Linked DNA regions of Arabidopsis thaliana. The protein of the gene in region 2 interacts with the protein of the main gene of each other region in a pairwise test. Each region holds a gene or a part of one and is shown on either strand. Other genes may lie near its edges. The genes, in order: BTI2, LACS8 and AT1G73920.

Region 1 (9,529 bases), on a different chromosome or scaffold from region 2:
GATATGATTTTGTGGACTAAAATATAAAAGAGGAATCGGCTCATGGTCTTATGCTTTCTTACAGTAAAACATATTTTGGTCCATATACATATGTCTAGAGGTGTCAAACGCATTGGTCCGCAATAGTATTAGTTTCTAATAGACTGCGATGGCCAGTCTGCTAGGACCATCAGCAAAAAGCTTTATATATATTATTTATTTATTTTTATTAAATTTTTGTAATCCGTGGACTGATCCGCCAATTTACATACAAAATACGTTTAAATTCGTTATCAATTTGGATTGGTCCGTAAAACCCCCTATTTTTAGATATGTAATATGATATATTTTTAAATATAATTTAACATTAAATTAAAAAATAACTAACTTTTTGTTTTTGTAAAATAACTAATAGTAACATTACTTTATGCTTTTTACATGTTCTCTATAAATCATGTGTGACTTGGTTGGTGGACATAGAGTAAGGATTTCGTGGAAATATTCAATTTTTTGAATATAAAATTAATTAAAAAGAGGAATGGCCAATTGAAAATAGACAAAGCGGCAGCAAAATTAAAGAGATTGGTCGTGGACTTGGGGTCCCTCGCACGCACTCTAGACCTTTGATTGGTCTTGCACTCTAGATCAGTAATTGTAAATATTCATTTAGTAAATCAAAAGTGTTTTAATATTATTTGTGTATTACCCTCCAATGATTGTAACCGGAGCAGTCGAATGTAGAGTGCGTGGAGCATAATTGGTGGCAATCTATTCAGGGGTACTATAAGTCGAGTTGCCAAAAGAAGGTGACAAAGAAAACATGCTTAAGTTCTGATATGGATTTGAGATTCAGAATTCTTGATCAGAAAACTTTTAATATGATTTATTCATGAATTCAGAATTTTTACCGTATGTATTAGAGTATTAGACAATGATATATTAATATATCAACGAAGATCCGTTATTAGAGTCAAAGATCAACTAATGTTATTGTCTTAATCAACTAATGTTATAACCAAGAAGACCTTAAAAGTTATAAAAAAAAGATCCTTTAGTTATTTTATGTAAATTTCTTTATTAACGAATGGCATTGAAGTAAATATATTTTAGTGTCAGATTCTTTCTCTTCCACCATCAAAATAATTAAGAAAAAAAACAATGCTATATATAAAGTCAAGAAGTAGAAAGACAAACTCCCTCTCTCCCCATTTTTAGCCATGGAAGCTTCATCAATATCTCCCTAAATATGAATCAAACTCATTAGCTCTATAAGGTTGAATCCAAATTTGGGGAGCTTGCGCTGAGCTTCCATGGAAGCTTCTAGGTGCACCAAAGGGTTTCACCATATAGCTTAGAAATACAACAATGTTCACTCCCTGCACTCATTTAACCGGCCTTGATTATGATGATTTCTTAAACCGTTCCGGTTAAAGCGGTGGGGTTGAACCGGCAAGTCATGGAACGGCGGATGGGCTCGATCCTCTTCGAACCTACCAAGGTCTTATATCGGCTCCTTCTCTACTATCTAGGTTTTTGTTTTTCTTTTTGTCATTCATGTTGTTGTTTATCAATTTGATTGTGTTTGTTTATGGAATTTAATTCATGAATGTGATGATTGCCATATATAAAAATTAAGAAACAAAAAGCAAATTAAATATAATAGATTTTTAGCTCATTCTTTTTGGTATTGTTAAATTTAACGAATAAACTTTTATATTTGTGCATGTTTTAATTATTGTCATGTGTGTTGGTGTTGGTGACTTGTGTTTGCGTAATTTAATTTTGATTCACGATTTAATTTACCTAAACCTAACAACAACATAGCCAGAAAAGAAAGTTAGGTAACCAAAAAAAGAAGCGTTGTTTGTTTGGCGCAAAGTCGCAGTGACAACAAGTGGAGACAAAAAAAAGAAGAAGAAGCTTTTACTTCTCCTTAATCTTATGTTCTTCTTTTCTTTCATCTTTTGTCGTTCTTACTCAAGTCTAATAATATCGGAGACACCGCAAATAACAGTGATAGCCCTCCAAGCTTTTTTTATGAAGTAGGGAAAGTTGATGGGTCATCAATCCTAATTTAATGAGTCTTTGGCTTTTAATTTTGTGTTGCAGTCCATGCGACTGTGAAAAGAATAAGGCCAAGCTAAAGTTACTTATTTTCTATTCACAAATGTTTAAGCATCAGTAAATCTCATTATCTCAGTAATAGTTATACAAATCAAAATGATTTTTATAGACTAAATTATATAATTCATAGATGGTTCATTTATGCAATAATAATAGTTATCTGATTCCGGGAACATATGATATGGCCATTCTTTTGTTTAAGAAAAAAAAAAAGAAAAACCATTAATGAGAACATGTGTTGAACCAAAACAATTATGACAAGTTTGTGAAATGATCCTGTTGTCACAATTATTTTGTTGAAAGATAAGAAGTGGAACCCATTATATTATTATGTTTCAGGATTCACCATTTGATACAAATTGATCTTAAGCGTTTTAACTTTTAACTAGTTACTTATTTAGCTGATTGTTACCTGAGAAACATAAGACCGTTTAAGAAAAAACAAAAACATGGTTAAATGAGAAAACATAGTATAAAGGAAAGAAAAAAGAAGGTAATTATAATTTAAAATTAACAAAAATATAAATTGTCAGCAGTGGGGTTTGAACCCACGCCCTCGTAAGAGGACCAGAACTTAAGTCTGGCGCCTTAGACCACTCGGCCATACTGACATTTGTTAATATTCATACTTATTACATATATATAACCAGTAAATATACAAACATGTTATATTTTTATTTTTTGGACAAATAAAGTAACAAACACTTAAAAAATGAGCTCAGAGAAAATAAAAATCTAAATTGTCAGAAGTGGGGTTTGAACCCACGCCCTCTTACGAGGACCAGAACTTGAGTCTGGCGCCTTAGACCACTCGGCCATCCTGACTTGTTTGATATCAAGACATACTACAAATATATAATCGAGAAAAAACGATATTTGAGTAACGTACCATATTAGAAACACAGAAATCAATCAGTACATTAAAAATATAGATCAAGAGAACGACTACAATCATTGTGCTAATGCCACAAACCACTCCAAAAACAAAGCAAAGTTGTCAAGTAAAATTTGGGTTGAGATCTAACACATAACCTTTTAGATTACCAATTCACAACACAACACAACCCACGTGTATAAAAACCAGAGCATTGTGCACATTGCACTCCAAAGAAAACCCACACAAAACAAAAACCCCAAAAAAAACTAATCCTTCTTCTTGTCTTTCAACGGTCCTCTTGGGATTTTGCTGAATACCTTTGCGTCCAACACAGCGTATTGCTTCTTCAACTCAGCCATTGCTTTCTCACCGTATGAGTCTACTTTGTCTTCGTACTTGTCGTAGAAAAGAGGAACAGTGAAGAGCAGAACCAGAGCTGGACCAAATCAATAACCGTTCATCAGCAATGTCAGAATAAGAGAGAAGGCAGAAGCAAAATACTTTTAGCAACAGTAAGTGTTACCTATGTATGCCAATGTCAAGAAACTATAGCAGCCGCCCAAGATCGATAGAACCCACAATCCGGCAATAGCCTAATTCAATCAAACAGTACAATAAGTGTCAAACTTAAGTGAGACATCGAGAGAGGAGTAACGAGTAAGTCCAGGACAGTTTAAACATACAGAGAGGAACTTCTTGATATCCCTCCCCGACGCAATCTCACGAAGAGAAGAGATCCCACGGTTGATTTCGATTCTAAGACCCGAAGCAAGCTGAAGAAGAGGTTCTTCAGGGATATGAACTTCAGGAATCTTTGGTGGAGACCTGAAAGAGAATGAAAATTTGGTAACGAAGATGAGTCAAATAAGCTTGACAACCTTGACCTGTTTCATATGATTGACCACAAAACTTACTTGTGAATGAACATAGTGGCATTAGACCATAGAAACAACACAGCAAGAGCAACGATCATAACGTGACATAACAGAGTAAGAAGATGATACTCCATCAATTCAAATAGCACCCATGCCACTGTAGCACCGCCAAATACACCTCCTGACATTTTCTTGTCCTTCCACATAAATATATCTGCCGCTGCAATTAAAAAGATCACCAAATTAGGGTTTATCAATCACGAAATAAGAACCATATCATCAATAACTACAAGAATCTCACAAGATCATTATACACATTTCCAAAAAAAAAAAAATCAATTCCATCACAAATTCTCTCAAACTAGTCAGAAATCAAAATCGAAATCGAATTCAAATCAATGTAAACCTCTATGTAGATTCAAACGATCTTCTTCACGGATCCCTTAAACTAGTGAGAAAATCAAACAGATCAAGCCAACGCAAACGAATTCGTTTTAAAAAACTGAGAACAAATATCGAAACGGGATCAGAGTAAACATACGTTTTCCGCCGCCGAGAACCTTATGAACAGGTCTCTCTCTTCCGAACAAACGATAAACCTTCGATTTCAAAGACTTTGGAGACGATGACGAAGACTTCTTCTCGTTTTCGTCATCTGATGATGATGAAGACGACGAATCACCTTTGTGATGGATCTTCTCCGATAACTTCTCCATCAACGATTCCCTCTCTACAACCTCCACTGCTGGATCCAAATTAGGTGAAGATTCTTCATGCTTATGTTCATCCGCCATTGTTTCCGATTCAAGAGAAGAAGAAGAACGATCAAAGTTATTGTTCTAGCGTTTTCGTTACACCTCTGAGAAGAAAGATCTCGAAGTCGAATGAAAAAACCAACAATAAAAGGAGGAAAATTAGAATAAATCTGAGCCGTTGAATATTTTGTTTCTGATCTGATCCGTTGGTTGGTTCGGATCCAAACCTGCTGCTTCCTTAACTAGAGCGATGCTTAGGAAAAGATAAATGTCGTGGGGACATATAAAAAGTGTTTTCACAGGACCGAGATGTTAACGCTGTTAAGGATAACGGCTTTTTAAGTCACGTGTAATTAACGGCTCTGTTATTAAAATGGCTATTAAACTTTTCTGGTTCAGGTGTCACGCGGCTGGACAAAGAAACGGTCGAACCGGTGGTCATGTGACACGTGGTTGAATCGTAGCCGCTTGCTTATGTGACTCATGTACTTTCGGTCTGCATTCAAAAGACAATGATAATTTAATTATCTTGACACTAAATTAAAATAATATTTTGCTGCTGGCCAAAAAACTAGAAAATAAAAATATTAGAGAAGTAGGAACCGTCTCTTGGTTAAAAGAAGTGTTTAAAAAAGAATGCTCTAGAAAGTGAAAAAGCATTTAACTTGACAGCGTTAGCTCGAGTCGTAATATGGGCCCAATGAGCTAAAACAATGATGAAGCCCAGTTACTTTCTCATGTCCAAGAAAGCAAATATGATTCAAAACCGAAACCATGATTCTAAACCGGTCAAGAACCAAGGAACAGTGAAATTTTTGAGGCTTTTGAGTCAGTTCGGGTTTAAAAAGACCCTTTTCCCCAGCTTTCTTCATTCATTTTCAAGTTGATAACCAAATGGGCCAAACTAGTTATCGGCCCATAATAATAAGAGAGCTCAAAGACAGGCCCAATAATAAGTGCTCAAATTTGAAAACAATTGAACAGACAGAACCAATCATCCCAATGATCCCATCATCCCCCTTTGTTTGAATTTCTCATTTTTACTCCTTTACACTCTTTTTTTCTTCACAAGCTTTAACTGTGACTTTTTACATTTTTTAACAGTCCTACTCTAGATGAAATGGTTAAAAGTTGGTATTTGTGATACACAAAACGAAAAGAAAACACAACAAGTAGGATACGAGAACGAACATGAACATTGATTCATTCATTCAAAAAACCATAATCGTGGGGGATTAATCCTTTTACCAGTTAGAACTGTTCTTTGTGGAAATCGAACCTGGTAATTCCCGTCTGGTTAAATTCATGGCAGAGTGTTGAAAGTTCCTTCCCCAAACTTGGAACTCCACAATAGAACACTCCTGTAACAAACAAAAAAACATTCTTCAGACAAGGCAAATATACACCGCGATATCGAATATCATTTCAGTGAACTGATGTTTCTGTGTGTTACCAATTCTTGCGTTCCTATGTTTGGTGCTAATCTTTGATAAAACTTTCTTCCATTTTGGCCTCCCAAAATGTGTCCTTACCTAAAATAACCAAAAGTTGTTATACAAGATCAGAAAAGAGTGTTGTTTGTGATAAAGTAATCAACTAATCATTAAAGATCATTACCTTGGTTCCTGAAAAAATGTCGACGCCATTTTTGGCATGGTTTAACGTTTGGATCATAGTGAGAAGATTGGATCGAGTATCTCCTTCTTCGTAGACGCTAGTCAAGTAGTTGTGCATCTCAATAACACCCTTGTAGTTGTTCACAAGACAAATACGTCAGTGAGTAACTTGAAATCATACAATCTTTTGAATTTAAAATGAATAAGTGTATTGTTTTTACCTTTCTATCTGAATCAGCAATCTCGTTCATGATTTCTTTGAACCAATCGAACGAGCCTTGTTCTCGTGTTACCCAGTAAAAGTAAGCATTCTTGGTATTCAGCGTCTTCCGTTGAGTTTGCGGAATCCGACTCGCAGCTTCTGAGTTTAAGCAACTGAAACTGTGATCCGACGAGATGTTGCTGTTACTACAACTACCTGAGATGCATTCCTGAGAATATAACATAACTCCAAAAAAGTTTAGTTGAGATTCTGTTACTCATCAACAAGGTTTTTAAGCTTGTTATACTCACAGCTTGTTCCTGTTGCTTAATAATGTTATTGAGTAGATCTCTCAAAATGCTAACGAAAGGTGTTGCGCCGATTCCAAGGCCAACCAGTAATACCACATCATACTTCCAATGGTCTTGCGCTGGAGCGCCATAAGGTCCATCTATCAACAGCTCTGGAAAACTATATTACAAGAGAGAGTATCAAAATTCACATTCTGAGAATAATATATTGAATTTTAAAGAATTTTATGCACCTTCTTTGGTTTGGTACATCTGCTCTGAGAAGTCCGCTTTTTCCAGCTTCAGGGGCATGACATACCACTGAGAATGCCTTCTTAATCCCTTCTGTCCAATCACCGCGCTGACGAATGTGAATGCTGAGATAATCATCTCCAGGGGAAGAAGTAATAGAAAATGGATGCCTGGAGATGGAGTTTAGGACCGAGAATCTTTAAGTTAGTCTTTGTGGTGTCAAAGAACAGAGTTTGTATATGTTCTAGGATTGCAAGGAAAGCTATTAGGCTTGTTTTGGTTCCCTATAAAACACTCACCACTCAAATTTTGATACTGATGGACACTGAACAAATACATATTGTCCACTCTTGTAATCAAATGATGTAGGCTTAGACATGCGTAGCACAACAACGTTTCCGGGATAAATTACAACCTGAAACCAAATCATTTGAGTTGGTATAGAGATAATAGTAGATGATTGACAATGTGTCTTTTCATGTAATTCAGTTCAAAATGTAACTGTAAGTGAGATTTTACCTTACAGATTTCGACTGTGTAAAGCCTGGAACGGAAAAATCTAAAGATCCTCTCACCAACATAGAGTAAAACTGGTACAGCAAGATACATCCATACCTGTAGGATGCAGTATATGTTATTGTTACCACAGCCAATTATGTAAGCATGCAAAAAGTAAAATGGTAAAGAGTTTATGGAATGTACCGTTTTGCGGTACCATTTATGCTCGAGATAGAGGGAAACACCGTGGATGACTAAAAGGACGTAAACAGTTAGAAGTAAGTGATGTGAATACCAGAAGGCATTATATCCGGTTAGTTTGTCAAATGGCTTCGGCAACTTAGTTAAGTTCCGCCTGCATCTTCTACTGGCTAATGTGAATGCAATTAACATAAAAGCAACCATTATAATTCCAGTGATTCCCACAGGAGTATTCACCAAACCAAAGTATGTGGGTCTGGTCACACCAAAGTACTTAACCAAGTATCTTTTGTAATCTGTATCAGTAGATGCTAGAATCCTTGGGAAGTCACAGGCGAGGTGGCTGGTTGCATGAAGAAGCATTGCACTAATGATTGCTACAGAGATCGTCTGCGTTTAAGCAAAAACCGGAAAGTCGGATTCAGCTGAAGCATAGTATCTTTCTTATGAAAGGCAAGACAAAAAATGGTTTATGATTAACCTTGTGAAAATTAATGCAGTCATCGAAAGGCACTGAGTGGGACAAAGCGGTGGATCTGAGATAGGTGATGGTATTTCTACAGACCGGCAAAAGAATAAGAGCCATGTTGAATTTCAGTGTCTCAGCTGCGCCTTTTGCCATGACAAGGCAGTAACCCATTACATGGAATGCGTCTTTGTGTTTGTACTGATAGCATTTCCACATAAATAACCAGGCCATGATCACAAACCACAATGTCAAAACCCAAATCCTCTTCCAATTATCTTGCAAAGAGTAAAGCAAGTTTCTGCTCATTCTCCATCTTCTATCCTTTAGGTTCTGGCTTAAGGCTCGGCTCGTCTGGCTGAACGGTAGGCTGTAACTATGAGATATGTCCTTCTCTAGTAGCAGTATCTCTAGGTCCTTTAACTGCATCATTTCAAATCCATAACAAAGACAACATATTAGAATGTTGACAGAGTTCTACTACCTATCTTGTCTCAGTCTCAAGCAAGTGGGCAGTCTCTCAAACAATATTTGTTACTAATCACAGTAAGATTATCTAAATTCTTAATCATACACTTAAACGCCACTACACCACTAGAGATTATTTTTGATAACAATATTTGTTCAAGCTCTATATGTGGACCTCTACATTTTTGTCTTCGTCAACCTTTTATTATATTAATTCCATACAAAAACAAACTTGCATAGCACATAACTTTAAGCTCATTGGTTTTGACTCAGTCAAATGTCCCTATCAGAGAACTTGAAAGGTAAGAGAGCTCAACGTCATCACTTACTAAGGTCAAACTTAACAAAGAACCCTTCTACTCTCTCTCTCATAGAAAGAGACTGATCTACACACTATCAAAAGTTTTACGGTATTTAAACATGTTTTCTGTTAGGACATTTAACAAGATTGGGAGTTAAAAGTGATGGAACCACCTCTATGTACTGAGAATAGAGTCCATCTGGTGCAAGTTCTTCCATGATCAGTGCGGCATATTCCTCTGCTCGTTCTCGCAACCTCGATAGATTATTTGCCGATGCACTTAGTATAATAATCTATAGGTTGTCAAAATCATAGAAAACCATACAAAAAGTAGTTAATACCATTGAGAAGCTTCTATTTGAAAGATTCAACGTTAAACTTAGTGGTTATATAGAAAAACAATATCTTTTCATTGGTAGTTAGAATCACTTCCTTAAATTAAGAAAGCTGCTACAAGGTCAATCAAATTATATGCAGAAAAAACAATTGCAACTTAAATCTCCTAGTCTTGCATTGGTTACAAGGTAGACATAAGAAAGAATAATATCAAGACCAACATAACCAACCAAAAAAAAAAAACATGTAGCTCTATAAAATTAAGCAAGAGGGATAATACAATACTAAA
Region 2 (10,882 bases):
TTGGAAACTGAGAGAGATAGCTCTTGTACGTGATTTTTTATTTTGCTAGAGATAGCTCTTGTACGTGAGAGATAAATTCCAAGAACCTGGAGTTTTTAAAATGATGAGAGTTTTGTAGAATGACTCATATTTTTAAGATAGTTATCATATTTGTTTCCTTACTTTTTAATGTTTTTTTTTCAAATTTAGAGTTGAAACTAAAAGACTCATTTTCCTACCTTTTTAGTTTTACTTAATCATTTCAAGTTTAAAAACAAAAATTACATAATGCTAAAATAGTTTTAAAATATTATTTTAAAAAAAATAATTACTACATCTATATAATTTTACCAAATTACTTATCTACTTGTTATGTATAGTATCTTAATTTTACCGAATAATTTCTCGATTTAGTGAAATACAAAGCTTATTTACTTTAACTCTATTTGTGAATTTGGAATAAATAAATTTTACATATCTTAGGTCGTGTATTGCTAATATATTTTTCTTTTGTAGATGTATTGACTTGTGTTCAAGATTTACCGTAAAATCATTTCACGTCAAAGATTCTTACGAGACTAACAACTTGTAAATACATTCAAAATAGTAAAGTAACACCGCAATGGACAGACTTATGGAAGCAACTCCCAAGCTTGAATCTTACAAAATCCGAGTTCAAAATGTTATCTTCCAAGGTGCAAAGTGTAGAGGAGATTGAGGAGAGTAAAGTGGTTGTGGTGTCGCAAAGTATGAAAACTATTGAAATTTTTCTCAAAGTTCCATGTTTGTAGCTGATAACAATGAAAGTTGACGACAAACTTAATTGATGCACCAATTCTCAGCTTTTTAAAGGTCAAGAGTGCAAGATCTGGTTCTTTTACGATACGACAAAACTTTAACAAATTTCAAGACACACTTTCAATTAAGTTTCAACAAAAAATCTTCTTAGTGCATTAAGTCGATATTGTAAAGAGCTCATTATTCATCGTAGTTATTTTGAAGAAGTAAACATTCAAATTTTTGTTTCTCCCTTGCTTGAATCTTAATCATATCGCATATGTTGACAATTTTTCATTTCGTTATATAGAATGGTGGACTATAATAAGGGAAAAGAAGAGGCCCCTTGTTTCAAAATCTAACTAGACTCAAGCTCTTAAAGTTAAGAGCTCACCAGTCACTGGTTCTTCAGATATTACTTGCTACATTATATCAATTTCTTATGCTCAAAAATGTTCACTTCTGATTGCTGAGTAGATGAAATATTTTAGTTTGAGATCTTTTAAATAATTTTTAGATCAATTTAAATAACTTACAAATTTGAAAGAACTATGGAAGAACTATTCATAATTATGCTAAAACAATAATCAAAATATGATTTATAATATCAACATTTCAATAATGGTCTGACTTATCCTATTATTAATATGCTACAGGATATGTTATGTTGCCATGTAATATGTTTTCAAGTTTTAAAAAAAATCATGGAAAATAACTTAATCTACCAACCAAAATATTATTCATATTACTATCTTTAAGATAATTATTTTTTTACTAATCTATAAGCTGGGCATAATGTCCGAATCCGAGCATCCGATCCGAATCCGAAACCAAAATCTCAAAATATCCGAATCGGTTTCTATACTTTCAAACCCGAAAAATCGGTATCCGATCCGAACCGAACCAATAAATGCGTTCAATTCCAACCAAGGTCAACTAGATTGGAGGAAGAGAAGAAGAAAAAATGTTGGGAAGCATAAGCCTCATCTCCTGCAACTTCTCTCGCCTTCCACGTCTTCTTAAACCCTCCACTCGACCTCAAACCCTAACACAATCCTCAAGCCTCCTTCTTCTTCTTCAATCACGAGCTTCTTCTTCACCACATAGAATTGCCCTTTTCCCGAAATACGAGAAGAAAGTCACATTCTTCCATATCTGCAAAAGCTCTTCAAACAACCCAGAAGAACCAGAGAAGACTCAAATTCAAGATGAAGGAAGAGACTGGTCTAGCTCAATTTTGCTTTTTGCGCTTTGGGGTGCGCTCTTGTACTATTGCTTCAATCTCGCTCCTGATCAAACACCCGTACGCAATCTTCAAATACTTCATAAAGTTACGATTTTGCAATCATAATATAATCTTAGGTTTTTGTATTGCAGACACAAGACTTGTACTTTTTGAAAAAGCTTTTGAATTTGAAAGGTGATGATGGTTTTAGAATGAATCAGATCCTTGTTGGGTTATGGTACATCATGGGTTTGTGGCCTTTGGTTTATGCCATGCTCTTGCTTCCCACTGGTACAAGGTACCATCCATAGTTTGTTCAAGTGAAGCTCTTTTAGGAACTTCAAACACTAACTAATAGAGCTCTTTGTTGGACAGTAAAACACCGGCTTGGCCTTTCGTTGTGCTTTCCTTTTTCGGTGGTGTTTATGCTTTGTTACCTTATTTTGCACTGTGGAATCCTCCTTCTCCTCCTGTTTCAGAGACTGAGCTGAGACAATGGCCTTTGAATGTTCTGGAATCAAAAGTAACTGCTGGGGTAAGAGATTATCTCTCTCACTCTCACTCTTTTGAAATCTTGATTTGTTATCACTGGACTTACAAGTTAAAGAAAATTGTCTCTTGCCTTTTGGTCTTTGGTTGTTGTTGGATTATGAATCAGGTCACTCTAGTTGCAGGACTGGGTATAATTCTTTATTCAGTTGTCGGTAATGCCGGTGATTGGACGGAGTTTTATCAGTACTTTCGAGAGAGCAAATTTGTAAGCCTCATTTCCCTGGAAATGTTTTCGTATCTGTCCTCATATTTGACCTAAACTAAAATGCAGATTCATGTTACAAGTCTTGATTTCTGTTTACTCTCTGCATTTGCTCCGTTTTGGGTTTACAACGACATGACCACCCGAAAATGGTGAGTTCTATGTACAACTAGTTTGCGGTGTTTACTCACTCAAACCTTTTTCTGTTTCTCTAAACGCACTGCTTCTTTATCAGGTTTGATAAAGGCAGTTGGCTGTTACCGGTATCGGTGATTCCATTCTTGGGACCTTCTTTGTATCTACTCCTACGACCAGCAGTGTCAGAGACGATAGCTCCCAAAGATACTGCATCATCTGACCCAAATCAATAGCAACATCAACTTTCTCTTTTGCTCGATGACAAGACTATTGTCCAGAAGCCCCAGGAAGATTTCACAGGACCGACCATCATATTTCTGATGCATGAATGCTGATGATAACATTATGAACATGATAAACCACCAACGTCACAAACGTATTCTAGAATACAAAACCTAATTCCGGATCATAAGGAGGATTTCATTTGTACCTTTTGTTTTCAGAGGATTTCATATGGTTAATAAAGCAGAGAAGTTTTACCTAAAGGAGTTTTTCGATCCGCGTCTACTTTTCGAATACTTCAGCTCCTTGTATACCACAATGATTTACTCTCTTCTATAGGCTATAGCTGATGGAAGTGGAATCATATAGGTATTGAATTAACAAAAGGAGAAAAACTTCAAGTTTATTGTAGATATAACAAAATGTGGAAAGTCAGACTGAAATATATGGAGTTTGTCACAAGTCCAAGAAAAGTTTTTAGGCATATAACTTGCTGAGTTCATCTTTGAACTTGGACTTTATTTGTTCTCTCTTTATCTTAAGAGCAGCAGTGACCAATCCCGACTCCGGTGTCCACGGCTCTGACAGCAACTTGATCTTTGCTGGAAGCTCAAACTTTTCGAGCTTTGCCGCCTTCCCGGCCTGAAATGATAATAATATTTTGTAATACATATACTTACCAAACGTAATTGTGAAAAACCTGAGACAGCTATTGAAAATACAAACCTTGGTAAGAGATTGTTGAACCTCCTTGACTGCTTCACCTTTCTCGCATAGCTCAGCGAATTCGCTGTGTTTAACTCCAGCTTCCTCTGCCCATTTCTCTAATGCTCCTCGTGATGGAACAACAAGAGCTACACAGTAGCTGTTAATTGGGTCTGCGTGGACCATGATGTTATCAACGTAATTGCTCGAACCCAAAGCTGCCTCCACCTGTGAATTGTGTGATCCAGGCAATGAAAGAGCATGATGAGATTTTATCATATACCACCATCCTCTATGTAGAATTTAAGTTCTATAGGCAAACCTTTCCAAGGGATACGTATTCCCCATGTTGAAGTTTAACAATATCTTTCTTTCTATCGATGACTTCGAGACATCCATCAGGGTGGAATCTCCCAATATCTCCGGTGTAAAACCACCTTGTGCCCTTCTCATCGACCTGAAATCGTCACATGGATTCTCAGAAATCTATATAGCAAGCGGATCAACTAAGCTCCCTGAATGTGCTTTACCTTGTAAACCTCATCGGTTTTTTCTTGATTGTTGAAGTAACCTGCTGTTACACTGTTACCACCTACCACAATCTCCCCTCTAGGCATTGGTTTATCTGAAATTCTGTAGCCACCTTCTTCCCAAGAAACGAGCTGCAAGATGAAATTTGTTACTCATGATTACAATAAACTTGCACATTGTCAACATGGTGTGTTAAAGATTGTCTGCAAACCTTAACGTAGCCGCATGGAAGTGGAGGTCCAACACGACCAACAGCAGGATCGTCCCACTCAGAAAACGTAGCTCCAGCACACGTTTCAGTCAATCCATATCCTTGGCCGATGGGAGACCTAACAGAAAATAATGCACAATCATAATCAGAACAAACTAATCCCAAGCATTGTGAATTTGCAAAGAAGAATACAGATAAACACAAACCAGGCACCAAAATGGTGTTTGTCTAAGCCAAAATGGGACAAGACTCATATGAAAATATCAGATGTGAGACTACATTACCCCATGCAGATATTGATGAAGCGTTGCGAATCAGGAGACAGAGGAGCTCCTCCAACGAGCATAAAACGGATGTGTCCTCCAAGCACAGCGCGTATTTTCTTGAAGACAAGAGCATCCCATAACATTTTCTCCAAACCCCAGGCACCAAACCAACTTCCATCCACAGCTGCTAACCGGCGCTTGTATGCAAAGTCAAAAAGGGTCTTCGCCATCCCTCCCTTTTCCTCAACCTAGATTATTACATACACAAATTGAAGTATCTAGTAAGTAACTCCAACAATACACACAACATTGTCGTCTCTAAGATGGTACCTTTTTAAGAACTCCTTCTCGGACACGATCCAGAATAGCTGGAACTGCAGTCATTATAGTTGGCTTCAGAGCTGAAACATCTCCTTTGGTTCCTTTCTTAACTTTATTTGAAGTGTCAGTTAAAGTCATTGCTGAGCCGTAACCGATGGCACTACCTGAGGTAAAGACCACAATCTGAAAAACCATGATTTGGCAAGAAACAGTAAGAAAATAAGTTAGCAGTTAAAATGAGAGAGACATAGAGAGGGAGAGAGAGTACAGCAACATACCTCAGCTTCCAGCTCAAACACATGAGCCAAAGGTAAGTACGCAATATATGTATCATTTTTATCCAACTTTGGAACCACCTTCATAACTCCTGCAGCAGTTGCGACAAGATTTCCGTGGGTAATCATAACTCCCTGAGTGAATGCACACAATGTAAGGTACACCAATCAAGAATTCAGGTGAACAAAACACATAAAGAAAAGAGAAGACACAGTGCAACACATACCTTTGGTAGACCAGTACTACCACTGGTAAACATTATAACAGCAACTCCATTCTTCGAAGGTAAGATCGGTTGAACAGCGTTCTTCTGCCCAAGTTTCTCAACTTCAGAGATCGACGAAACAGTTATATCACCCATACTATTGACATCACTAGAAGCAACATCTACTCCATCTTCTTCAATGTAAATAATGTTCTTCACAGTTTTCAAGCTTGATTGTATCGCAGACAACTTCTTAAGTTGTTTTGAGTCACATATTAAGGTTGACACTCGAGTCTGTCAACAATACACAAGCAAGATTCAGAGATCCAACAACCAAATTTACTAATAAAAAACATACACATTCAAAACTTCCCCTACCAACCTCATTGAGTGAGTAAATCAAAGCCTCTTCTCCTAAAGAAGCATAAATAGTAACAACGGTTATGCTCTGCCTGAAACATCCCTGGAAATTTACAACACCAACCATTTCATCAGACAAATTCAAGCCAAACCAACAAAACAATAGTTGATAAACAAACCTGAAACGCGATAAACCACTCAGCACGAGTATCCGAAAAGATAGCAACACGATCATCAACATTATGTCCTACATTAACTAACCCCGACGCAAAGTTACAAACACGTTCAAAAACCTCTCCATAACTTTGCCATTTATACTCTCCTAAATGAAGCTTCTCAAACTTCCTCCCATCACTAGCAGTAATAAATTCCTTATCTATAAACTCTCTAGTTCCTAGTAACCGATCTTTCGAATACTTCTTACAAGACTGCTCAAACAAAGCAGGCATAGTAGCAGCTCCTTCCCAAGGTACATCAACCAATTCAGGAGCTCGAGCATGACGCATTGTGTAACCTTCCTCGCCACCTACTTTGATGGGAACACCTCTCTTTTTCCCCTTTTTGGTTCCATTCAACACCACAGAGAGTAACACAGGCACAAGTAAAGCCACGATTCCACCTCCTATGATTCCATAGACTCCAAAGTCACTGCCTTTAGATGGTGAATCCATTGGATTCACTCCAGAATCTTCCATAAGCGCGAAAGCTACACAAAGGAAAGGAACAATAACACTAATCACAGTGATCCGATGATCGATCAAGCAAATTCAAAATCGGTAGATCACAACAGAATCCAAAGAAGCTAAGGCATCGAGAAAAAAGAAACGTTTTTTGGAATTGGGTTACCTACGAATAGATTGAGAAATCAGTGAAAGGAAACTTCTTGATGATTTCTTCGAATCGGGTTCCAGAGAAAAACGTAAAGTTTAAACCTTTTCGATGCTTTGAAGTTGTGAACAATCCGAAGCTTGTGGACTCTGTCCTTTTTCGGGAAGCCTTTGGTTAAGGAATGTTTCGTCGGTACGGTAATGGACACGTGGGAGATGGCTAATGGAGGGACACGTGGATGCTTCTCCGTTTGGCTTTTTCTTGCCACGTTTACCTGAAATTCCGGAGACGCTACTTCGTTGAAGTTCTAAAGATTCTCCAATTGAATATTGTGAAAAGTAAAAACGCTGATTTTTCAATTCAGAAGCCACCAGAAACGTCTTTTTTCAAAACGCTATATTTCACTCAGTTTAAAAAAGCGGTTCCAATTTTGCGATTTTAAATATTAAAACGTTACACCCATAACCGAGTCCGAGTTATCAATCAAACCCTTTATAAGCATTTTGATGAAATGTGTGAGTCAAACACATATGAATACACAAAGCAGTTCCAAAACAAAGTAAGAATATTCATATCTCCATTTCAAAGATTTCTCCGTTACAAGACAGCTTCTGTTCCTTCTCTCAACTGTCCTAAATGATGCCTATGTTCGCTTAGGAGATGACCGAGAGTGTTCTTGAGTACCAAATTCTCAAGATATATATATGTCTATTAACTAGGAAGCTCCAATTGAATTGAGGAAAGAAAATCTAACTGGAACCACGGCGAACACTTTCTTCGGTTCGTTCAAGAGCATTTGTTAGCACGTCTATTGTCCAGTTTTTCAAGTCATCCTGATTAAAAAGGAAACAAGCAAAAGGTTTGGTCATCGAGTGACGATATGATTTGGTAAGATACTGCAAGGATTGGTGATTTAATAGAGCGGTTTACCTTGCGCACAGGTTCTCCAGTTCTTATTTGTGCATTTGGGCGAGCAAGCTTTGACTCAAAAGGTGTTCTTGGCCTTACTTCTCTAAACTCATCCCACTCCTCACGATCGATCATTCGTACCGTGCCTTGCCCCTGTGGTGCATTCTTTATCTTGCGTTCAATCATTTCTTGCGATTTCGAATCATCGATCTAACAACAAACCAATACTGAGAATCAGCAATTTCCACAGATCCTTCCTAATTCAATTGCACAAAAAAGTATAAAGCAATCTAACAGCTCAATTACGAAACAACTTCTACTTAACAGCTGCTAAAGTCACTGACAAGAAAGACGCATTCAAAGAGATGACAGAGGAAGGCTTACCATCATTAGCACCTTTGCAAATAATGCGATACCTACAACAGCGAGGAACATAGGCATCGTTGCTGTGTCTAAATATGATCTTGATTCTGGAACCTCAACTAGAAACTGGTTCTTTATTGGGTTCCTTCGCTTCTTACTCTTTTGCAAATCGGCTATCTTCTTTCTTAAGGTCTCCGTTGGGGCATCATTAGACGGTGAATGAAACCTTCTCCTAAGCAATGTAAATAACTGACTCTGTCGAGACATCATAACCAGAAACAGGGATCTTCTTTCTATGCCAAAGATAAAGAAAAACACAGTTTAGCCAAACTGGAACCATAAGCCCTACTCCAACACAAGCATCAAGCAGAAATTAACTTTTAATGGACAGTTTTGCATATAAAGTTCAATCACAGAAAGTAAAATGCGACAGATTTAAGCTCATGTGGAAAAGTCTCTCTTTTTCTTTTACCAGAAGCCCTATTACAAGAACACACCTATCCTGGACATGGTGGAGACTATACCTCTCTCTCTCATAATGTCCTCAACAAAAACACTTCAGAGATCATCACAGAAGCTTCACCACATAGACCGCAAGTCCTAAGTTCCTTGATAATCCTAATAAGAAGCTGACCATACTAAAACTAAATCGATATGCAAACCAAATTGCAACTTACTTACTGTGCTATACTTAGAATCTGCTAATGCGCTATGCAACAAGAATTTATTGACATGCCCAAATTTTCAAGAAATAATTCTATAGGCATACTATATGTAAAAATAATAATCTGATCTGGAATGTCAAGTAACTTTCGTTGCGGCATTTTTACGAACACTTTGTATGCAGCTTTTACTCAACATGAGACATATGAAAGATTCGACATTTTTGCAACAAGGGACAAAGAGATATCGAGATGGGTACTGAAAAAACTTGGCTTTGAACTAGAAAGATCATTCTTTAAGCAAATCAATGACCAAATCAGAATAATTTTGTTCGATGATTGAAACTCTAAGGGAAGAGATGAAAATGGGTTAAAGAGATGAGGAGATTGCAGATGTAAACGTACCAGATCAAGAGGGGACTGAGTAGACAAAAGAGACTGTTTTGATCTCCACGGTCTTCCAAAATCGAAAAATCGTCTGGCAGTCCTTTTTGCAAAGAGGAAGCCAAAAAATCATTGTAAAAAACAGAAATAATTTATTTATTTTTTCTTAATTCGAAATAGATGGATATTACTAGTATATCCTTATCCGAACCTATTAATTACCAGAAAAATCATGGTTCGTTTCCGAACCAAACCACCCGAACCACTTTTACTCTTTATTTGAAAATCAAATAAAAAAAACCTTAATATTTCCAGGGATTTTCCAATTCGAAATTGTTTCTTGTTCTCATTACAACCGTTTTCGATTTTTTGACTTCTTCTCCTTAGTAACCGCTGAAATTAACCACAACATTCCCTATTTCTTTAAATTCAATCGAGCGTTCTTCTTGCTTTCACCAGTATTTCCGTTCTATTTCCGATTCGAAATCAGTCATGCCGCCTAAGACGCGTGGAGGAGGTCAAGGGAAAAGAAAGGAGATAGAAGCGCCGGCGCCGACGAAGACAGAGAAAGTTAAGGCGCCGGCGGAGAAAGTGAAGGAGAAGGTGCCGGCGAAGAAAGCGAAGGTTCAGGCGCCGGCGAAGAAAGAGAAGGTTCAGGCGCCGGCGAAGAAAGCGAAGGTTCAGGCGCCGGCGAAGACGACTGCGACGGCACAAACGATTGCGACGGCGATGGCAACCAATGCGGCTCCAACGACAGCGGCTCTAACGACAACGGCTCCAACGACGGCTCCAACGACGGAGAGCCCGATGCTTGATGATTCTACGTTTTATGATGCTCTGAAGCATATTCCGGCTGAAGAAACTCAAGAGAATATGCAAACTGATGAGGTGGAAGATGAAAATGAAAAAGAAGAAGGAAGTGAAGAAGAATAATCAGGGAGTAGTAGCCAAACCTTGGGCTCCGATTCCGATTCAGAGGAGACGGAGACAAACAAAGAACTCGCGTGTGCTAATCCCGTGGAAGAGGCGGAGAGACAAGATGACGGCCTAGCCGTTATCGAGGAGGAGGAGGAGAGGAGCTCCGCGAGCGACGAGGACGTCAATGTGGAAAAGTCCGTGGAGGATGAGGGAGACGAGGACGAGAGAGACGAGGACGTGATAGTGGAAAAACCCGTGGAGGAGAGGACCATAGACGAGGACATCGCAAATGTGGTAAGTATTCCATTTCGTAATACCGATCTAATTGGGTAATAATGCAATTGTGAACTGTGGACAGTACTAGTAACATTGGGAAATGCTATGTTGATATTTAGGTAATATTGGCGGATGTGGGTAATACCTTAGAGTAATACTACAATTGTGATTTATCAGTAGTTAGTACTAGTAACTTTGAGAAATACTATATAGTAAAATAGGAGTATCTGTGTTATACTGGTAATTACGGGGAATACTTGTAGGAAATACAGAGTAATAATGTGGCAGTACTATTTACAATTGAGTGAAATATGAACAGTAGGATTTGTGTAATACTGGTAATTACGGGGAATACTTTTTGGAAATACAGAGTAATAATGTGGCAGTACTATTTACAATTGAGTGATATATGAATAGTACGATTTGTGTAATACTGGTAATTTCGGGGAATACTTTTTGGAAATACAGAGTAATAATGTGGCATACTATTTACAATTGAGTGATATATGAATGAATGTTTGTTTCTTTCAGGATATGGAGGAAGCGATGGCAATGCAGCCACTTGGTATGTA
Region 3 (11,646 bases), on a different chromosome or scaffold from region 2:
AAGAGACTCCTTTAGAGATAACGTGGCGAGTTGGGGACTCGTCGTGAACTCGTTCACCGCCATGGAAGGTGTTTATCTCGAACATCTTAAGCGAGAGATGGGCCATGATCGTGTATGGGCTGTAGGCCCAATTATTCCGTTATCTGGGGATAACCGTGGTGGCCCGACTTCTGTTTCTGTTGATCACGTGATGTCGTGGCTTGACGCACGTGAGGATAACCACGTGGTGTACGTGTGCTTTGGAAGTCAAGTAGTTTTGACTAAAGAGCAGACTCTTGCACTCGCCTCTGGGCTTGAGAAAAGCGGCGTCCATTTCATATGGGCCGTAAAGGAGCCCGTTGAGAAAGACTCAACACGTGGCAACATCCTGGACGGTTTCGACGATCGCGTGGCTGGGAGAGGTCTGGTGATCAGAGGATGGGCTCCACAAGTAGCTGTGCTACGTCACCGAGCCGTTGGCGCGTTTTTAACGCACTGTGGTTGGAACTCTGTGGTGGAGGCGGTTGTCGCCGGCGTTTTGATGCTGACGTGGCCGATGAGAGCTGACCAGTACACTGACGCGTCTCTGGTGGTTGATGAGTTGAAAGTAGGTGTGCGTGCTTGCGAAGGACCTGACACGGTGCCTGACCCGGACGAGTTAGCTCGAGTTTTCGCTGATTCCGTGACCGGAAATCAAACGGAGAGGATCAAAGCCGTGGAGCTGAGGAAAGCAGCGTTGGATGCGATTCAAGAACGTGGGAGCTCAGTGAATGATTTAGATGGATTTATCCAACATGTCGTTAGTTTAGGACTAAACAAATGATTTGATTTAGTCAAACAAAATTCTAATTATGGTTTTTTTTTCCTTAATACAGTATGTTCCTCACGAACTAAAAAAATATGCATGAGTGTATTTTATTAAATTGTTGTAAGATGATAAATAAGTGTTTGTGATTGTGATTCATAAATAAGTGTTTGTGATTTTTGTTAAACAAATCGGGTCAATTTGGTCGGGTCGGGTCATATCGGGTCAAGTTTAATAATACCCGAATGTTTTGTTTTCCTTATCTTCTTCGAATCTGGCTTCGCTTCCCTCTCTCACATATCCACACAACAAAGGAAATGGCTCTCACCGTGAGCAGCGGTGGCGGAGGAGCTAGAATCCGCTGCAACGACCTCACCGATTCTTCTCGTAACCCTTTCTCCACCTTCCGACTCGTAAACTTCCCTAATCCATCAAGAACCGGTCTTCACGTTGTCTCTGCCGCCAAAAAACCTTCCACACAGACCGGTCGTTTCGACAGCAAGAAGCGTCGGACTCTCGTTCCTACAACGACTAAGAACAGCAGGAAGAGGGAAACGAAGGTTTTGACGGCGAGAACCCGCCGTCTCAGATCGTTATCAACGACGAAGATGGAGATAGAACGGTGGTGAATACTCGATTCAGAGGTGATCCGAAAGATGCGCCGAAATTTGCCATTAAGGATCTTCCTGGACTTGAACCAGATCCTTTTGAAGGTGAGAAGTGGGATGGTCTAGGTTTCTTCGTTCAGTACTTGTGGGCTTTCGGAATCCTTTTCGCGGTAAATTTCTGTACTTTTCAGTTGCTTTATAACAATTCTCCAATTTTGAAGTTAAACCAATCAATTCACTATGGTTCAAAATGTTGTAACAGCTAATCTCTGGTGGACTTGCGGCGGGGACGTATAACGAAGGTGCGACGGATTTCAAGGAGACGCCAGTATATAAAGAGGCGATTCAATCTCGTGACCTTCTTGATGAAGCAGAGAGTTCAAACTCTGAAGATGTGTTTGAGTCCAACCCAACAGAAGTGGCTCCTAGTTTGGAATAGTTTCAGTTCAGTGTTTAGAGAAAGAATTTAAAGACTGAAACTTTTTGCTATTGGGGTGTTTTAAAAAGCCATATTCCAAGTTGATCTTGAGCTTGTTGTGTTCATAATGTTATAGATTCAAAGTTAAAAGAAGAGTATTGTTCTTCATTGTTCTGTTTTCCGATTTCATTTCTGAACTGCAAACTTCTTTAGGAATCATTCCAATAATCTCTTCTTTTATAAATGTAAGGTAAAGTTATAAAGTTGATCTTGATTCATTGAGAAAACACAAAACAGAAGAGACCGAGATGGTAGTTAATGCAGAAAGACTCAGATGAGGAGGAGAGCGGCGGGTAAGATCGCTGCGAGTGCAAAGATGGTTAGCTGAATCTCAGACTTGGAGCCAGAGGATTTCAAACCATAACCTAATCCCATAAAACTGGTGGGTCTTGGTGCCATTTGAGCCACTGGAGTAGCTGATAAAGTGAAAAGTAACACTATGTTAACTGTTTCCATGTTTTGGTTTTAGCAGATACTGAAAACTTTGGTAAAAAGTGGTTTACCAGCGACACGAGAGTTGTTCTTTGCACCTTGAGAGATTTGAGAACCAGTTGAGCTTGAAGGTGGTGGAGCAACAGAGGAGGAATCACTAGGCGCCTCTCCTATATACCGAAAACATTCTCGTAAGTTCCAAGAAACCAATTTGATCTCACAGAGGAGAGGACAAAGTAGAAGTGTTGTTTACGTACCAGGGAAGGAGGAGGAGCAAGTGGATGAATTGGCTGGAATGTTGCAAAGCGGAGGCAATTGTAGAGCAAGAGTTTGATTAATTGGAAAAGCAGGGGACAAAGTAGAGGTGTTGTTGAGGAAGAGACAGAGACAGGTTGCTTCTTGGCTATAGATCTGGTTTAAGCTGTCACAACATGGCTGAGCCGGAAGTTGGGCAAAGCCTTGAACGAATGGACCACATGGAGCTAAGGAAAGCAGTCTGGAGGCACATGTAGCTGGTACTTGAGCGAGAACCATTCGGAGAAAGAATGCTGATAAGGAGATTAAAAGAGTGATGAGAAGAGTAGAAGAAGCCATTTTTTTCCTAGGAGACTAAGTTTCTTTCTTCTTTGTTTGTGGGAGAGTAAGGGGATTCTGAGTATTTAAGGTTGGAATCAATTGGTTTGGTGTGTGTGACTATGGACATGAATTGTTATTGCACACATGATGTGTGTTTATTTGTTGCAACACTTGAGTTCTTCATGCTCGTTTCTTATTTGGTGTTTTTGAGTTCATTCGTAAATTGTGCTTCTTGTTGACCACAAGAAAACAAGAATGTTACCGGAATCTCGTTAACAAATTTTTAGAATTTGAAATAGTTAACCAATTGAAATACCAAATTTAGAAAACTTGAGCAACAAAGTCGTTGTAGTATAGTGGTAAGTATTCCCGCCTGTCACGCGGGTGACCCGGGTTCGATCCCCGGCAACGGCGTATTTTTAATTTTTTCATATTTGTTTTTATTTTAGTCCCTTTGTTTTCAGTTTCTTTAGTTTTAGTCCCTCATATTTCAGGTTTGTTTGTTTTAGTCCTTCTCTTCTTTATATTCAACTTCCCAATCCGAGACAAAGTGAAATCACTTAAATAGTTTACTTTCCGGTTCCGTTCTTAAACCTTCCGACGAAGCTCCGGTAGAGAAAACCTCTCTTCACCTCTCCCATTCTCGGCAGCCATGTACGGTGGAGGTAGGTTTTATTTTCGTCCTCTCTAAAATCTCTCTCTGATTGTACAAATTCAGCATTACTTCTTTCCCTTTTCGCTTGAGCTCGTCTCGTAAAGGTGTAAACTTTTCCTTGGTGGGGTTTCTTATATATTGAACAGACGAAGTGTCAGCTATCGTAGTAGACTTAGGTTCTCACACTTGCAAAGCTGGTTACGCCGGAGAAGATGCCCCTAAAGCTGTTTTCCCTTCCGTAAGTCTCATTCTTTACTTCCTCTCTTTTCAATTGGTTAAAGTTAGGTCCTTTTAGTGTAGAGCAAGCAATTCGAGAAATTTAGGTTTTTTGTTGTTGCTGTTGTTGATGTGTTATATAACTTATAAGGTTGTTGGAGCGATAGATGGAAATGGAATGGATATTGATGATGCTGCAAACACCACGGAGGATGCAAAGGAGTCTGATAAAGAAAAAGGCAAAAGGAAGCTTTACACAGGATCTCAAGCTTTGAACTTTCGCCGCGATCAAATGGAGGTCAGTTTTCTTTATTAAACTTCAAAATGGTTAGGGATGAAGATAAATTTTCAGGTCTCTCTATTAGTTGACATTTGTCTGTTCCAGATATTGTCACCTACAAAGGATGGCATTGTAACTGATTGGGATATGGTGGACAATGTATGGGATCATGCTTTTAGGTAATTTGCAGAATCTGTTAGTTTTTGTCTTTAACTGTTTAATCTTTATCTTTTCCATTTATAGTTGATTGATGATTTCATCTGTGTAAATGTTTATTATTCAAGGAATTGTCTAATGATTGATCCCACGGAGCACCCAATGCTACTTGCAGAGCCTCCTCTGAACTCACAGCAGCAGAGAGAAAAGTCTGGTTTCTCTACCTTTTATCGATGCTGAGTTCATCTTGGATTAGGAACAGATTATTCTGGTGGAACATCATCAATGCAGTAATTGAAAGAACGCCTCGAGAAAGACTTGGTAGAAGTAAGGTAGTATACTGGCATCGTTAGGCTCATTCCAGCAAATGTGGTTCTCCAAGTCTGAGTAAGTAACACATTGGATTGCTCTCTAGATCTCGACTCACGTATAAACAGTGTCTTCTCATCGCTAGGGTTTGAGTCTTTTTGTGTACATGACAGGTATGCAGAGCATGGAGCTTCTTACATCCAGAGGAAATGCCCTTAAAAGCTGCTTGAGATCAAGATAACGAGAACCTTTGGAGACAGTCAGAGGGTTTAGGGATTAAGTAATTAGTATCTTTTCATTTATTTAGGCAAATATTAAACACTTTTTTATTATTATTATGAAGCTTTAGAAATAGCTTCGTATAATATAATGTTTCAACGTTAACATACAACAAATGTACTATTTTTCTAAGTGAAAACAACCACAAATGTACTTGTGTGTTTGCCTGTTTGGTAAATCCACCTTCTCCGTTATCCAAAAGTCGAATTTACGTGTCGTAGTTTTTGTCACATTCGTCATTATCCAATAACACATGTCCACGTGTCACCATTTTCTGGTCTCTGGACGGCAAGAATCGCCGACGTGCCCCTATTTAATCGGATTCTCCCATTTTTATTTTATTTTCGTCAGATTCTCTCCAATTTTGTTTTTTCTTTTTAGATTTTTGATTCTCGAATCGCGGCTCCTGTGGGTCTCTGTGTTTTCCTTATTTTGAGTTCGGATTAAATCTCGATCGCGATTTGGTCCAATATCTCCTAGCATCGAGAGATTTCTATTCTGGCTAAATTTTGTGTTTTCTCAGGTGGATAAGAAATTTTCTCTTTGTCGTTTTCCTCGATAATTTTCGGATTACGGCGACGAATCAGATTGTTTTTTGGTTTCAAATTTTCTGATATTTCCAAAAAAACAAAAAAATCTGATTTTTGAGAAAAAAGCAATGCAACGGATCGTGGACAACGCTCTCGCTGTAACCAAAGAGTGAGTCTTTTTTCTTATCGATCATCAGTGGATTCATCTGTGTATGCGCCTATAGTTGTTCTAATGTTTCATAAATGACAAGTAGAGATTTTTAAGTTTTTGATCGTTTGGTGATTATAGTAAGTCTCTTTGTTAATTAGTATTGGTAGATTGTGTTTTTGAGTTTTGTTAGACCATTTTATTCTAGTATCTTCATTCAAAGCTTCGTCTTTTAGAGTTGATGTTGGCTATGAACTTTGAGTCGGTGAAATGACTATTTCTTTTTTTTTGGTTCGTCTTTTTGTTAGATGTTCTTCTTTTCCCTTATGTTGTCTAACAAGCTTAAACTAAATAAGCTTTTTGATTATGTTTTGGCTTTTAGTGCAGATCAGTAAAAACTGTTACATATGAGTCTTTGAATAACATTGCGAGGTGCATAAATGGAGTATCAGCTCTTCTGTTGACCCTTCTCCCAGGGAAGGCTAATATTCTTGAAGGCTTACATGGCTGGGAACTCAGGCCTACGTTTCGTGGACCACGTTTACCACGGTGGATGCATAAGTAATAATTTCTCATGATTCTTCTGTTGTTAGTTTATTTGCAAGCCTTCAAAATATGCTAATTTTACTCTGTTTTTGATGGCAGTGGGGTCTCTTCTTTCAATGAGTTCATTCATGAGCTTTCTGTTGATTCTGATACTTCAAGCTTGGAGTATTCTTCTGGAGAAGATAGTGATGGTCCTTTGCCTCCATCACCATCATCTCAAAGCTCACGCCTCTCTTGGGCTAGCACTTCTGCAAGTTCTGAAAACCACTGGACAGAGTGGATTACGTTCATTCTTTGGTGGTTAATGTTTCCTGTACGGATCTTGCTATGGATACCACAATATATTATAAGTTTATTCTATAAACGAAGTTCAAGAATTCCTGCGAGCCCGAGAAGGCACCAACATTCATCTAGACCTCGTATTAGCAAGACCAACTCAAGCAAAGACCATGATGTTCCCAACCGAACTACTGATAGAAGACGTGGGGTTATTGAGGTTTGTGGATGCACGAACAAATATTCAATGTTACAATCATTTTTGTGATTTTAAACCTTTTGACAAACTCGTCCTACTTAATGTGCTTTATTTTTCAGGATCTTCATCTTGCTATCGAGATCGGCATAGAAGCAATATTTGATTTTTTTCACAAGGCTACGCATCTTCTTCTTTCTCCATCAGAAGCTTTTGCAATATTGTTATCATGGTTCTCATCTTCCAGTCGCAGCCCTAAAGAAAACCATGGTGAGGTTGCTTATGATGAAACTGTGCAGACTGCTACTTTAGGAGATACAGATCCATCCCCCACGGAAAGGCCCGTTGAAAGTCCCACACGTTTATACAACTCTATGAACACTGATACTCGAACGTGTCAAGATGTCATAACAGAGTTGGGGTAAAGGGGCAGATTCGATGTCTCATGCTTCCATTTTTTTTTTCTCTTTCTCAAGTAGTTGATATTTACTTGATTTCTCTCCTACTCTTGGTAGGTATCCTTACGAAGCTATTCGTGTTATTACATCTGACGGATATGTTCTTGTCTTGGAAAGGATACCAAGGTATAACTTTCTTGTTAGATATTAAGCTCGCTTGTGCATGCTTTCCATTCCTGTTACATTGTCTCTTAATGTGATCGTTGACTACTCTTGTCTTTGCAGACGTGATGCAAGGAAAGCTGTTTTTTTGCAGCATGGGGTTTTGGATTCTTCAATGGGGTAAGTTTCATGGTCTAGTTCTTAGATGACTCGTAAACTTTGGAAACTTAGTAAGCTGAAAAGTTGAGGAAGTATTATTTTCTATATCCATGTAGCATAACATTCCTAGGCGTTTCAATGTTCCTGACTCTTTACCCAAAAAAAAATTATTTTCATAATTTGTTCCCTTCAACTTTGCGTGTGTGTTTGATTTGCTCAAGACACAAAAATGGATTTGGGAAAATCTTTTGGTGCGATTAGGAGGGATACTGCTTTCAGTTACTTTAGTTATCTCATCTTCTTTTTTCCCTTTCCTTCTCTCCGATCCTTCTTAAAGATTTAGTTTTGACTTGGAACATCCTATAATCCTCTGATGTTTTGATCTAATATATGTCCTATGAAACATTATTGATTACTCTTTTTCTCTACTGCGTGTTTTTCTTCAGATGGGTATCTAATGGGGTTGTTGGATCTCCGGCTTTTGCTGCGTATGACCAAGGTTCAAGCCTCAAGTTTTTCATTTTCCAATCTTTTATTAATTCACATACGGCAACGATTTATCAGCTTCTTACACTCTTTTCCTTTACAGGCTATGATGTTTTTCTGGGTAACTTTCGGGGTTTAGTTTCAAGAGATCATGTGAACAAGAACATATCCTCAAAAGAGTGAGTTATTGCTTTAAAGTTCACTTCTTACTTAATCTACATGCACTGTCTGGTTTCTTTATGATAGTGGAGTTTCATCATATGTATATATTTGCAAGTTGTACAAATGTTCATTGTTATTGACCAAAATGCAGGTTCTGGCGATACTCCATTAACGAGCACGGTACTGAAGATATCCCAGCGATGATAGAAAAAATTCATGAAATAAAAACTACAGAACTCAAGCTCTGCCAGCCCAATATCGATGAAGAAATCAACCAGGAGGAGCCTTATAAGCTCTGTGCCATCTGTCACAGTCTAGGCGGTGCTGCAATTCTGATGTATGTTATTACTCGAAAAATCAAGGAGAAGCCACACAGACTCTCACGACTAATCCTACTTTCACCTGCTGGGTTTCATGAGGACTCGAACTTAGGTTTCACAATAGTTGAGTACATATTCCTTTTCATTAGTCCAGTTTTGGCTCGCATCGTGCCTGCCTTCTACATACCGACAAGATTCTTCAGAATGCTTCTGAACAAGTTAGCCCGTGACTTTCACAACTATCCTGCTCTTGGTGGATTGGTCCAAACTCTAATGAGTTATGTAGTTGGTGGAGACAGCTCGAATTGGGTCGGAGTCTTAGGATTGCCTCACTACAACATGAACGACATGCCAGCTGTCTCCTTCCGTGTGGCGCAACATCTTGCTCAGATCAAACACACCGGTAAATTCAGGATGTATGATTATGGAAGCAGATCAGCTAACATGGAGGTTTATGGCTCTCCTGAACCGCTTGATCTAGGGGAGTCTTACAAGTTCATCGATGTGCCTGTGGATTTAGTAGCGGGAAGGAACGACAAGGTGATCCGTTCCTCTATGGTGAAGAAACACTACAATGTGATGAGAGATGCCGAGGTCGATGTATCGTTTAATGAGTTTGAGTATGCTCACCTTGATTTCACATTCTCTCACCGTGAAGAGCTTTTGAGATATGTGATGTCGCGGCTTCTGCTTGTGAAACAGACACCAGTTCAACAGAGGCAGACCAGTCAGAAAGGTATGAAGTTGAAGAAGAAGAAAAAGGAGGGTACAGTAGTGTAGTAGCTGAAACCGATCTATGGCCAATGTTCAATGCCTCGTAGAGTTTGGTGTCTTTGTATTGTGATGTTGTGTGTAAGCTTCATGTGTGTGTTCTATGCCAGTATCCTATGGCTTGGCTATAATAGTGTACATATACCGTAAAGATTGATCCCTTGATGAAATGATCTTGTTGTGAGAGATGCTTTTTTCAGCCGTATGGTATATAATAATGTTTCTAGTGGTTTGGTTTCCATGAAAATGATATGATGTCATGAAAGATGCTATGAATCCAGAAAATTCCTCCTTTCCATTGGAAGATCTGAAGAGACCAATTAATCATATAGTTGGCGAATCTTTGCATACTTTGACATAGAACTTCTGTAGGTCATACAGTTTATTCATTTGTCGTAATAATATAAATCATAGTTACAGTTACATGTTTAATGGATCCAAGAAGGATAAATTTATCTGGTTATAGAGTTAAAAATACAGCAGTGATCAGTGATTTCGGTGTTGTGTGATTCTCATGTTTCAAAAGAAAAAACGAGTAAACAATTAGGGAAGATGAAGAATTTTTCTCTTTTTTCTTTGGTACAGTTCAAAGAATGAAACAGAAAAGGGAAGAAAAGAAATCAGAATCCTCATGGACGCCGTAGTGAAGAAGAGCATTCATTGGAGCTCTGATGGATCTTGAAGAAGAGATGCTCTTTGTGGATTTAAAAGCAGAAGTTGCTGCATGTCCTTTGGAAGCACACTGAACACCGCTTGTAGATCCTTCTTCAGTTTCTGAAACGTTCCTTCTGAATCTGCACCTCCTCCTGATTCCAGCGACTGCAAAATATATGTTTTCGATATGTCATAATGGTTCCAAATCTGCTGAAGAGAGAACTAGTTTATGTTTATCATTACGTATTCTACCTAACTATGCAGATATGTACATCGCTAACAAAATAAAATCTATCTTTACATCTCTCAGGCATGTAAGTAATGTTTACATGGGAGTGTCCAAAGAAAAGAATCTAGCACAGAAGTAACATGAACATGAAATTAAGAGTCTAAAGGAAGGTAAACTTACCTTGACTTCCTCACTAATGTGTTTCTCAATGGCATTGAAGGAATCCACAGCTTCCAATTCATTCATCTGAGACGTAATCTGCCTCATATCAGTCTTCATTCTAGCTAGCCTCCATAATCTACGCTGTTCTTGTTCAGCAACAGCTCGCCGTCTTTGGAACCAAGGCGAAAAGTTGGGTCCTCGTAGAAACCGCCTGAAATATAATGAACTGTTTAGCAAGGGAACTAAATATTGGTAGCCCAGAATGAGACAATATTGTTTATACCTATACAAGTCGGGCCAGTTAGATTTCATCCGTTTAGACAAAAACTTCCCTACACCTCTCCCAGATAAATTTGAAAGGAATTCATCAGCACCAAATGATGGGAGCGCAGGAGGGGTAACATATGGGGAAGACCCATCTGAAGGAGCATTGACCTGGAAATATGGACCAAAAGGGGCCAAGAAATTTGTAGTTAATTCCAGGAAATGGCGTCGCAGAATCTCATTATTCACAACTGACATCGACTCCTCAACCCTTGGCGACATCCCAGCATCAATAAGTCTATTCAAAATCGAAGTGTCTGGCTTGGTTACTGCAGAGTAGGTGGTCCAGACAGCTTCCTTGTGTTCTGTCATGAGACACAGAGGTCCATCTCGCCTAAGTTTTACAGCATTGAGCAAATTTGTAGGAGAGAACCTTCTTAATGAAAGCTGTTGGACGCCTAATCCTTCAGGTTTAACAGATAATTTACCAGCCGACCTACTTGTAAAGGCTACACGGTTTGAGTTTGGAGCAGGGGTTCCAACTGAGACAACATGAGGGATGTTACGAAGAGCTTTAAGGAAAAAGATATTGGTGACACCCAAAACCATTGGCGGGAAAGTGTCTCCTTCTCGGAGTGAGTTTAGTCGAGCGAATCCTGGATCATGTATAGTGAAATATGGTCTAAAGTCGACACTACAAAATAGCGGCGCAACCAAACTCACAAGACAAGCAACTGCCTCAGAACATTGCGGAGGTGTTGGTGCTATGATAAGGATGGGCTCGCCTATGAGTAACAATTCCCATAATGTCCATAGCTGCAACAATAGTCCCCGGTAAATGCCAAAAAGATCTGCGTCATGGAAAAGACCTTGAGGAACAGACTGATTTGTAGGGAGTAATGGAGCCATGGAAGAAGCAGATTCCTCATATAAAATCCCATTTTCCAAGGGAAGGCTATGAGCAGGCGGCAAGTTCACCTTAAGCATTGCATTACCAATAGGCAGCTCCATTAGCTTACCAGGCACAGGAGCAGGCCACATAGAGACATAACCAGCAATATGTTCAATAGCCTTATTTCCAACATCAAAATACAAAGGACCAATGATTTGCAACAAAGGCCTAAACACACTCGAGTAAGGCGTATGCGATAATATCACCACAGACTTCTGTTCACCTCCCCTTTTCAATCTTTCATCATGCCTCTGCCTATTAAATACATAACCATACAAGTACCTCTCACTACCATCTCTCTCCTCAGTGTTCTTCTTTGGTCTACGAAACCGGAAAAAGAAAATGCAGTCATGTATGCTTGAACGATTATGATGCTGTGAGACAGAATCCGGGAAAGAGTTAAAAGAAACCTCAATTTCCTCTTCTTGTGAGAGACAATCTGGTGGATAACACTCTTC

The links.
Region 1: the proteins of LACS8 (region 2) and BTI2 interact in a two-hybrid assay, tested with the Arabidopsis thaliana proteins (one large-scale study listed by BioGRID).
Region 3: the proteins of LACS8 (region 2) and AT1G73920 interact in a two-hybrid assay, tested with the Arabidopsis thaliana proteins (one large-scale study listed by BioGRID).

What each region holds. Positions count from the first base shown.
Region 1 is NC_003075.7:6,834,930-6,844,458, forward strand, and holds BTI2 (VIRB2-interacting protein 2), read right to left. Parts: upstream 5,108-9,529; 5' UTR 4,650-5,107; coding exon 4,397-4,649; intron 4,076-4,396; coding exon 3,895-4,075; intron 3,806-3,894; coding exon 3,664-3,805; intron 3,574-3,663; coding exon 3,504-3,573; intron 3,417-3,503; coding exon 3,247-3,416; 3' UTR 2,982-3,246; downstream 1-2,981. Other genes in the region: AT4G11211 (uncharacterized protein), read left to right, coding at 1,345-1,410; AT4G11230 (Riboflavin synthase-like superfamily protein), read right to left, coding at 5,862-5,971, 6,064-6,142, 6,228-6,356, 6,448-6,657, 6,740-6,899, 6,973-7,140, 7,270-7,385, 7,490-7,585 and 3 more.
Region 2 is NC_003071.7:1,511,869-1,522,750, reverse strand, and holds LACS8 (AMP-dependent synthetase and ligase family protein), read right to left. Parts: upstream 7,118-10,882; 5' UTR 6,817-7,117; intron 6,677-6,816; 5' UTR 6,666-6,676; coding exon 6,150-6,665; intron 6,074-6,149; coding exon 5,993-6,073; intron 5,905-5,992; coding exon 5,632-5,904; intron 5,540-5,631; coding exon 5,408-5,539; intron 5,313-5,407; coding exon 5,139-5,312; intron 5,057-5,138; coding exon 4,827-5,056; intron 4,661-4,826; coding exon 4,543-4,660; intron 4,463-4,542; coding exon 4,331-4,462; intron 4,258-4,330; coding exon 4,123-4,257; intron 4,029-4,122; coding exon 3,822-4,028; intron 3,738-3,821; coding exon 3,573-3,737; 3' UTR 3,443-3,572; downstream 1-3,442. Other genes in the region: AT2G04360 (uncharacterized protein), read left to right, coding at 1,721-2,059, 2,134-2,279, 2,357-2,738, 2,805-2,887, 2,971-3,106; AT2G04340 (cytoplasmic dynein 2 light intermediate chain), read right to left, coding at 7,548-7,631, 7,729-7,917, 8,092-8,340. UniProt on the Arabidopsis thaliana protein: Activation of long-chain fatty acids for both synthesis of cellular lipids, and degradation via beta-oxidation. Preferentially uses palmitate, palmitoleate, oleate and linoleate.
Region 3 is NC_003070.9:27,785,763-27,797,408, forward strand, and holds AT1G73920 (alpha/beta-Hydrolases superfamily protein), read left to right. Parts: upstream 1-4,974; 5' UTR 4,975-5,431; coding exon 5,432-5,472; intron 5,473-5,833; exon of another isoform or gene 5,834-5,838; coding exon 5,839-6,012; intron 6,013-6,096; coding exon 6,097-6,493; intron 6,494-6,591; coding exon 6,592-6,890; intron 6,891-6,984; coding exon 6,985-7,053; intron 7,054-7,152; coding exon 7,153-7,209; intron 7,210-7,634; coding exon 7,635-7,687; intron 7,688-7,777; coding exon 7,778-7,853; intron 7,854-7,987; coding exon 7,988-8,936; 3' UTR 8,937-9,166; downstream 9,167-11,646. Other genes in the region: UGT89B1 (UDP-glucosyl transferase 89B1), read left to right, coding at 1-802; AT1G73885 (AT-rich interactive domain protein), read left to right, coding at 1,102-1,225, 1,321-1,562, 1,655-1,820, 1,900-1,946; AT1G73890 (Bifunctional inhibitor/lipid-transfer protein/seed storage 2S albumin superfamily protein), read right to left, coding at 2,141-2,286, 2,374-2,472, 2,560-2,896; ARP4A (actin-related proteins 4A), read left to right, coding at 3,531-3,543, 3,680-3,771, 3,901-4,047, 4,135-4,208, 4,361-4,538; AT1G73930 (polarity axis stabilization protein), read right to left, coding at 9,585-9,746, 9,991-10,183, 10,256-11,646.